Linked DNA regions of Mus musculus. The main gene of each other region encodes a partner of the protein of the gene in region 3 in a complex. Links are inferred from orthologs where the notes say so. Each region holds a gene or a part of one and is shown on either strand. Other genes may lie near its edges.

Region 1 (4,348 bases), about 140 Mb from region 3:
GGGCTACACTAGGCCTTAGCAGATGCGCCAGGCTTCTGATTCTCCGCTGTGACATTTCCCGAGTAAGAATCATATCTATCCCAGTTCCAGTTTTACCCTGTGTCTGACATAGGGACATCGCAAATGTACAACCTGAGGTGCCCTCATTGCACAACTCAGTAGCATCTGAGCCTCCTCTAGCCAGTTTCCCCAGAGCAAGGATGGCAGAGAGACAAACACCAACGCAATTAACATTTATTTGTAAGTTTTCCCAAACAGGCCAATTGTGGTCTAGTGTGGCTGCCTGGATGTAACCCTGTGGTTCTGGGGTTTGTCAGTCTTTCCCCAGGGCTTCCTGGGTCCAGAAGTCCTCATGGAGCCTGGGAAGTGTCAGACTCGGAAGAGCTGCCTTGTGACGGGACAGGACTTGTACAGAGAGGCGGGAAGGCCTGCTCAATCCATCAGCACAGTGGGAGGAGCACAGAGGTGAGAGGAGAGAACTCGGTGGAAGGGACAGGGAGCTTTGACTGTGAGATGGACAGGACCAACCAGCAATGTTCAGCCTCTGAGCCTAAGGGAAGTGAGAGGCTTCCCAACCCACCTTTCTCTTGGCTTCTAAAAGGATGACCAAGAGAGAGAGGGCTCCAGGTTGTCAAACTGAGAAGAAAACAGCCCCATGTCCCAAAGAGGGCTGCAGTGCAGCCAGCTTGACCATCTTGTAAGCTGTGACCCTTGGTCCCTTTTCTGGAGGAGATATGGAGAAGGCCCCTACAGCCTCATCCCTGCTGGACCTTCACTGAGCCTTCTTGGTTATCTTCTGGCTCTTCAGCATCACATAGGTGATGAACAATCCTGTAATACACAGAATAGGAGGGACTGGGAGGATTGGAGTGGAAGCTAGGTGGCCAGGCATGCAAGGTCAGGCTCCCAACCAACCCCCCTAGGGGTGCATCTTTGCAGTCATTCACTAGGTCACACAGCCACTGAGGGTCAGTTAACTATCACCAAAATGGTGCAAGGCTAACCACCTGTGCATCATCCGGCCATGTGGTTCCTCAGTCAACCCAAGCACTCTTTTAGGCTCCTGGGCTAGAGCTTAGAATAGCGTAACAGCAAAGACACAGTTCCCAACCCACAGAGCCGTAAGAGATGCCAGGGTGACTTGAGGCAGGAACATTGAAGAGATGAAGATGAAGCTGAGACAGGAAAGAAAGGGGAGCCATGTCCTCATTGCCCCAGGAACCTGAAAACTGGGAACACCACTAGAGGAGCTTCTGCCCGTGGCCTTTAAGGAATAGGAAAGCCCCGGGGAGCATTGGTGACAAGGAGAGTCTAAGCAGATGTACAGCAGGTGCCAGCATGTGGAAGCACGCTGCCTTCCAGACACCCTGCCCCAGATCGGGAGACTTACCCACAAATAGGAGCAGCAGGAGGCCTGCGGCCAACGGGAGGAGGACGGCGTAGGCGCGGGGCAGGAAGTATTTGTGGATGACATGCTGGCTGTCAATGAATGGCTGGCACCAAGGGCAAGAGCTCTGGTGAGTACTGCTCACCTTACTCAGCCCCAAAGGGAAGCCGTCCCACCTCCCCCTGGCAGCACTGGATACTGAGGGCCCACCTTGATAGCATCCCCAAGCGTGGATATGTATCATAACAAGAGACCCACCATATTGTCTCTGTATTGTTGAATACTGCCTGGGCCTTGTGAGTGCTGGAAACCATCCTTTTTGATTTCTGAGGCCCTGGCTGACCTCACCAAGCTGCCCTCCCCCCTTCTTCTGCCTTCTGAGAACTCTAGGTCTTTTAAAGAGGTCTTTATTTTTTGATCATGCATTTGTGCCTGTGAGTCCAGGTGTACTTTCATCCAAGCCCTGGATCTCCAATCTAACTCCTAACACAACTTAAGCAGCAATGGCGTTCCGTTCCAGGGACTTTTGCTGGGTCTCCTGGAGCTGGAGTTACAGATGGTTGTAGCTGGCCATGTGGGTGCTGGAACTTGAACCCCAGTCCTCTGGAGAATCAGCCAGTTCTCTTCATCACCGAAGGTCAGCCCACCTAACTTTCCTCTCTGAAGGATACCAAGTACTGCAAGATGCCCCTTTCCAAGCACAGTGTACTTTAAAACAATAACTAACAAAATTTCCCACATTAAAGAGAGAGGCAGAGAGAGAGAGAGAGAGAGAGAGAGAGAGAGAGAGACTTGAGATGTTAATAAACTCCACCGGCGACTGCTACACCCAGGAACCTGCTGGCTAACCAGGAGGACAAACACAAAATAAAGCCTCACTGTGCGGCAGTTCAGAGGCTGAGAAACAGCCTTCTCCCCGAGTCTTAGCCTCCTCATCTATAAAATGTAGACACCATCTGCAAGCACCATAGTGTAGATTTCGTGAGATTAGAGCTAGCTAAACATCCAGACGCTGGCACACAGACGCTGATTAAGTCGCGTTAGGAAACTGGCTTAGAGATCCAGAGCAAAATGAAGGTGAGCGGGGTGGGGGTGGGGCACACATACCAAGAGAATCACCCAAGTGGTGTAGTAGGTGAAGATGATCAAGCTAACGGCGACAAGGCCAAATCCTACTGCTTGGTCTGTCCCGGTGGCCTGGAGAAAAATAAAGGCTCAGCAGGCGAGATGGCTCGTGTACAAGCACTAACGGAGGGTCGGAGCAGCCGGTTTACACTCCAAACCTCTCATTCATTTAGAACCACGGAGGGCTTACTAGAAGTGGCTCTCGGGTTTAGAAAGCCACGTCAGGCCTCGTGTCACCTGTCTGCAAGCGGTGGAGAGAGCGATCTGGGTTTGGAGAGCCCAACTCCATCTCCCAAGGAGACTCTTACTCAGAGCCCCGACCCCTGGTACCCTCAAATCACACATGTACTCCACCCCAGGCTCACCATCTCTCCAGCGTTCCGCCGGAGCAACAAAATACATCCGGTTCCTGGTTTAGGCCTTTCCGGCTTGTAAATCACGTGACACGCGGAGACTCGTCTGAGCTGACGTGCGGGCACTTTTCCCCGCCCTCCAGTGCATGTCGGGAAATGTAGTTTCTGCAGGGAACTGTAGGGCCGGGAGCTCAGACTTTCAGGTTTTTGTGGCTACATCCCTGTCAGACCCTTCCCAAACAATAATCATTTAAACATTATCCTACAGTCCCAAGCCAGAGTGAGATGTACCCCAGAGTTGGAAGTCCCGGAAAGGGATAGATCATAATGAGTTGGTTGTTGAAGCAGACATCAGAATTCAAAGGCTCTACATTCTGGCCTTGAAACTGTTAATGGAAGAGTCTGTATAGAATGACCACCACTGGCCTGGCCTATGAGAATTTCCACTGGTTGGCTTCCTAGGGAACTTTCTAGGCTTCCCTTCATTGTCCACTGCCAGAGGTTTCAGAATGGCCCTCTTAGAACCAAGGGGCGCTGGGCCAAATTATCTTTCATGCTTTTCTTCTGTTTCTCACCCAGAACACTACTCTCATGGCATATGGGGCTAGCTGCTGTAGATCCATTCTTCTCCAAATGCTACACCATGCAGGTTATCCATTTCTGCAACCAGAGGCAACAGCTCCCTCTTTGTGCCCTGACAGGTATTTTTAACCAGTTTCTTCGATGATTAGGACCAAAAGTGGGGCTTTAAGATCCCCGAATTGATGCTGGGCATGGTGGTGCATTTCTGTAGTCCCAACACTCTGGAGGCATGAGGAGTAGTAGGTCTCCTTAAACCTCATGGCTAAAGGAAACCTTATAAATACCAAATAAAAACGTTTTATTCTTTCCCCAAAACCAGAGTGAGACACCGTCTCAAACAAGAAGAGGTTCAGGAGTAACAGGTGTTCTCCGACCTTTGTCAAGTGCCCATTCATATTCATACAAACATGTGTGGACATATATGTAATATGTATGTGTGTGTTTGTGGTGAGCATTATGACTGGGGTCAGACTGGAGAACACTAACCTACTTTCCCCAGCATGTCATCTTACACATACATGGCTAACTCCTGTTAGCAGCCCCCAAGTCAACACGGTGATGAGAATGAAAAGAAACACCAACAAAAAGCAGTAACAAAAACATCGGCATTTAATTCCACCCCCAAACCAAACATTGACACTAGGCTGATTTCCCCATATGACATAATTTTCTATTATAAGCTGAGACAGATATGAACAGCCCACGGAATGGGGTGCAGTGGTAACCTGGTTAGAAAGGAATAACACAAAAGCAAATTCTCCCCACAGAAGAAGATGGGCCTGCTCATCCTGCCAGACCACGTGGTCAGCTGTAGGGTAACCAGAAAAGAACCCTAAAAATATTGCAGATCTTTTATATCTCTCTAATAGAAACATTAAACTGTCTTACAGGTCCCAAACTG
Region 2 (2,430 bases), on a different chromosome or scaffold from region 3:
TTACAGTCTACTTCTGTCCCCGCTTTGTGATTTCCAAGTGGACCCTCAATCCACTCAGACTAGATTTTTTTCCCTTTAAATCAGGGCCTTCCTTATGTAGTTCATGTTGGCCTTGAACTTGGAGCAGCCCTGCCTCCTGAGCCTTGGGATCATGTGGATGTCCTCAGGACTTTTTCACTCCTCATTTACTCGTTTTTCCAACAACAGAATTGCTTTAAGGAAGGTTTGGTAACACACACATTTAATTCTAGCACTGGGAAAGCAGAGGCAGGAGTAACAAGGGTTCAGGGCCATCCTCAGCTACATCCCATGCTCTAGGCCAGCCTGGAATACATTACATTAGACTCTGTCTCAAAACAAAACGAATACCAACCAGGCTGGAAACAGCTCAGCTGTTAAGTGTGCTTGCTGCTCTTCCAGAGGACCTGAGTTTGGTTCCTAGCTCCAGTGTCAGACAGCTCACAACTACCTGTAACTCCAGCTTTTCTGGCTTCTGCAGGCACCTAAATGTATCCAGTATACGCTCAGATAGACACACATATGCACACATAAATAAAGATTTAAAACCCAAACAAACCAAAAATCAAGCCAAAGAAAACCCCCTTGTTTTATTTAAACTGTTATTGCTACCTAAAGGCAACCAACCCCTTTTTATTAAAAAAAAATTTTTTTTTTATTTTATGCACATTGATGTTTCACCTGCGTGTATGTCTGTGTGAGGGTGTCAGATTCTCTGGAACTGGAGTTACAGGCAGCTGTGAGCTGTCATGTGGGTGCTGAGAATTGAACTAGGATCTTCTGATAGAGCAGCCAGTGCTCTTAACTGCTGAGCCACCTCTCCATCCCCTAGCAACCAACCCTTTATCATATCCTGTAATGGTCATGGTCTTCTTTCTTCTTCTGTTGAATTGCCCTGGAATCACAGGTATATGGGCCTGTGATTTGCAGTTCAATTTGACATGACCAGCCTATTTCTTCAAGACAGGATCTCAGACTGGAGTTCAAGTTTATTCCGGGTACTCTGTAAAATCCTGTTTCAAAATATAAAAGGGCTCAGTGGTTGAGAACTTGCCTAGCAGGTGTGAGGCGGCCTGTTCATGTTTGCTGATTGATGGGTGTGTTGGAAGAATGCTTGAATAATTGAATGAGTGGGCTTTCTGCACTGGAGAATCTAGTTTAAGGGGGGCGATGTAACATTCCCATCTTAACGCAGCGTTTCGGGGTATCCTCCGATTGTCCACAAGTTCCAGCCGGTATCGATGTGGGTCTCCAGAACAAAACGGCAAAAACTCTTCTGAACTCAGATTTTCGAAGAGCAGTGTATAACCAACCTGGATCTGAGCGCGGCCGAAATTGTCCTAAGAACTACAGTTCCCAGAAGGCAGCCCGGAAAAAGGGCGGTAGTAGAAAGGGACTTCCGGATGCTGATGCGGGCCTTGTCAGCGCGGCACACGGAGGTACGCTTAGGTGGCGGGCAGAGTGGAAAGACGGAAATGGGTGGCGGAGACTGGGAATAAATGTCAGATGCAGAGCGGGGATCGGTAGAAAGAACCCTTAGCTTTGATTTTTCTCCCTGCAGCCAACATGACGAAGTTAACACAGTGGCTTTGGGGACTGGCTCTCCTGGGCTCTGCCTGGGCTGCCCTGACCATGGGAGCACTGGGCTTGGAGTTGCCTTTCCCCTGCCGAGAGGTCCTGTGGCCACTGCCTGCCTACCTGTTGGTCTCCGCTGGCTGCTATGCCCTGGGCACGGTGGGCTATCGCGTAGCTACATTTCACGACTGCGAGGACGCTGCCCGAGAGCTGCAGAGCCAGATCGTGGAGGCCCGAGCTGATTTAGCACGCAGGGGGCTGCGCTTCTGACACCTAAACCCATTCCAGTCTGGACATCTTTCCTCATTCCGCATTAAAATGCAGTTTTATTTTCTAATCTTGTGTAGTTTTGAGTATGGAGGATAGCGGTGGGGTGGGGGGTGGGATGGGGATTCTATATACTAGAGGTCAAGAGGTGAGGGGGCAGGAGAACCACCTTACCAGGCCTTACTTAGCTTTGCATTTTGATGGTGTTCTGTTCCCTTCTCAAGATTTTTTTTCTGTTTGAAATAGGATGCCATGTACCCTAGACTGGCCTTGACCCCAGCCATATGGCTGTGGATTATCTCGATTCTAACGTCTCTAATTACAGGCTAAACCCACCATGACTAGACTAGTTTATGTCATGCTGGGCTTCAAACTTGGAAGTCCACAACTGAACTATATCCCCAAAACAGGTTTGTTTACTTGTGTATATGGTTTTAATATATATGGTTTTAATAAGTAGTTCAACCTGGCTTACAACCAACCCTGTCGTGCTACCCAGGCTGCCCTCAACCTGTGGTCCTCCCGCTTCAGCTTCAACCTTGGAAGTGCTGCGAGGCTTCCCATACAAGG
Region 3 (2,572 bases):
TAGCACAAAAATACAGCATAAAAATTGGGCAACCTTGAGCCGGGCGCAGTGGTGCATGCCTTTAATCCCAGCACTCGGGAGGCAAAGGCAGAGGCAGAGGCAGGAGGATTTCTGAGTTCGAGGCCACGAGGCCAGCCTGGTCTACAAAGTGAGTTCCAGGACAGCCAGGGCTATACAGAGAAACCCTGTCTTGAAAAACAAAAAACAAACAAACAAAAAAAATTGGGCAACCTTCTTCTCTAAATGGCTTCTGAATGCTGGTGTTTACTGCTCAAACACACCCTGTGCGATGGCAGTAGTGACAGAGTAATTCTACACAGGCTAAGTACTGAAAAATGAAAAAGACCAAAGTTCTCTGCCCCAGTGAGGTGTGAGGCAGCAATGCTGTATCTACAGTGACTCCTGCTGAGGTCGCTGCTTAACTTCTGTTCTGTGTACTTGATACTGAAAACCTAATGCCTTGTTTCAAGATAGATTTCTCAGCACTCAAAAAACAATTCGATAACATTATAGTCCTATGACTTTGGCTTAAAACAAAATTTAATTGAACACTAATAAATATTCTAGTTATTAAGGATGAAACAAGTCACTTCCCCATGGATGTGCGACAAGTTTTGGCAAAGGGGAACACAACAACAGTAGTTCTTATTGGAATATGCACTGTGGGCCCAGCTATGTGACTACATGGCAAGGCTTTCATGCTCAAAACAAAGTGAAGGTGTAGCTCACGTTTGTTCTTGTTACAATCAGCTAGAAAAAGGAAGTGAACATTTAAGACTTTCAATTTCTTTAGCAGCCCAAGTAAGGTGGGAAACAAGTATACAGGTTGGGGTGTATGATGATGCACACCACAGTCCTCACACTTGAGAGATGAAGGAAACAGGACCAGTAATTCAAGACTAGCTTTGACTACAGAGTAAGCTGGAAGTCAGCTTGGGCTATGACACTGTTCACTAAATGTGATTATGCAGTAACTTAAGAGACAGATGTCTGTTCTTTTTTTCTTGCAAAGGACATGCAACTAGATCTCATGTATTCACTCAAAACCTAAAACATGCTCTTTGGAGACAGAGGCAGATGGATCTCTGAGTTTGGTCTACAAAGCCAGTTCTAGGACAGCCAGGGCTATTACACAGAGAGACCCTGAAACATACTACATGATCTGAAAGCTATGCTACAGACAGAAGTTCACTGACTGATAAGTGAAGTATCTTCCCTGACAGTATGGAGCAACTTATCCTTCATTTTAACAATAGAACATTTTTCTGGATGAAGAAAAATAGTACAGGTATTTTTCTGTTGTGGTATCAAGTTTTGTTGAGGTATTGAAATAATGTACAAATATTTTGAGATAAAAAGAGATAAAATACTTCTCTTTCCAATAGGAGTTGTTGCTCAAGAAGACAAAGCCAAGAGCACAGCTAATGTGACCCACTGCTTAACTGCTTCCCAGCCCACACTGTACTCTGCACAGGTCTGCTCTGACGGACCAGGCTATGCTCAGTCTGCATGCAGGGAGCACATGCAGGGAGCACTGCTTCATCTAGGTTCAGACATCTGCCATGGACTTCAGGTCAGAGGTTTTACTTCTTTTCTAGTTCATACACTAACTGTATTTCGTAAATGCAATTAAGCTTCCCTTTCTACCATCTAGGGATAAAGAACTAACAATCTAGTTTTATGAAGTATTCCACATTTTTTTCATAAGAAACTTGCACTCACATTATCTAAATGAAAGCAGCAACATTTTATGCAAAACCTATATACATTTATTTATAGGTGTAATGTACATGAAAATTGAGAACATTGCTCACTAAACCAAGAACTTTAAATTTTAATTTGAAATATAAAATGGAGCTTCTCCAGAGAAAAAGATCCACATTAAATGCATCTTACCTTTGGCTCATGTGTTAAGACAACATTGATAAAAATCAGTGACCCGGGCTTCTCTACTTTTAATTGAAATGAACACGGGAAGCATAAGTGAATCATTTCTTTTATGTGGTAGCAAAGAGAGTCAATAACCCTTTCAGGAACGAGACTATTTCATTTCCTCCCAACTTGGATTCACCATAAACTCGATCCACAAATGAAATTGGAACCTGGTTTAGAAAACACAGAATACATTAAAGTCAGTCTTCAACCAACAGCAGCAGCGAGCTCAGGCTATGGCATTCAACACAGAGCAAAGCCTCAACCTGCAGCACCAGGACTCTGCACTGACAATCTCGGTTCTTAGGGTCACTGTCCTCGACACACTCATTACCTACAGTCAGTCATCTGGATGAAACCTGCAGCTGTCTGAGAAGCACTGACCTCAACACTATGCTAGTGCACTCAATTTCAGGGCCTAGTTCCAGTACGATGGTTTTTCAGTTTTTTTTCTCTCTTTCAATTGTTACGTTTAATGTCGCAGAGGAGTTAAATTATAACCCTTCTAATGTTCACAAGACAAGAGGCATTCTGGGAGGGTAGTATTTGGTATTAGATGTGGGGTCATCTCTAATAACTCACCATCCAGACCGAGAGACAAACCCTGCCTCCAGCCTGTATTTTGTAATCCTTGAACATT

Evidence for each region.
Region 1: Dpm1 (region 3) and Dpm2 share a complex: the UniProt entries of both Homo sapiens proteins name them as parts of the dolichol-phosphate mannose (DPM) synthase complex. The link is inferred for Mus musculus from reciprocal best matches to the Homo sapiens genes DPM1 and DPM2.
Region 2: Dpm1 (region 3) and Dpm3 share a complex: the UniProt entries of both Homo sapiens proteins name them as parts of the dolichol-phosphate mannose (DPM) synthase complex. The link is inferred for Mus musculus from reciprocal best matches to the Homo sapiens genes DPM1 and DPM3.

Annotation. Positions count from the first base shown.
Region 1 is NC_000068.7:32,569,442-32,573,789, reverse strand, and holds Dpm2 (dolichol phosphate-mannose biosynthesis regulatory protein), read right to left. Parts: upstream 2,933-4,348; 5' UTR 2,881-2,932; coding exon 2,878-2,880; intron 2,585-2,877; coding exon 2,495-2,584; intron 1,494-2,494; coding exon 1,391-1,493; intron 832-1,390; coding exon 773-831; 3' UTR 219-772; downstream 1-218. UniProt on the Homo sapiens protein: Regulates the biosynthesis of dolichol phosphate-mannose. Regulatory subunit of the dolichol-phosphate mannose (DPM) synthase complex; essential for the ER localization and stable expression of DPM1.
Region 2 is NC_000069.6:89,265,150-89,267,579, forward strand, and holds Dpm3 (dolichol-phosphate mannosyltransferase subunit 3 precursor), read left to right. Parts: upstream 1-1,311; 5' UTR 1,312-1,457; intron 1,458-1,579; 5' UTR 1,580-1,584; coding exon 1,585-1,863; 3' UTR 1,864-1,930; downstream 1,931-2,430. UniProt on the Homo sapiens protein: Stabilizer subunit of the dolichol-phosphate mannose (DPM) synthase complex; tethers catalytic subunit DPM1 to the endoplasmic reticulum.
Region 3 is NC_000068.7:168,208,535-168,211,106, forward strand, and holds the end of Dpm1 (dolichol-phosphate mannosyltransferase subunit 1), read right to left. Parts: intron 2,103-2,572; coding exon 1,998-2,102; 3' UTR 514-1,997; downstream 1-513. UniProt on the Homo sapiens protein: Transfers mannose from GDP-mannose to dolichol monophosphate to form dolichol phosphate mannose (Dol-P-Man) which is the mannosyl donor in pathways leading to N-glycosylation, glycosyl phosphatidylinositol membrane anchoring, and O-mannosylation of proteins; catalytic subunit of the dolichol-phosphate mannose (DPM) synthase complex.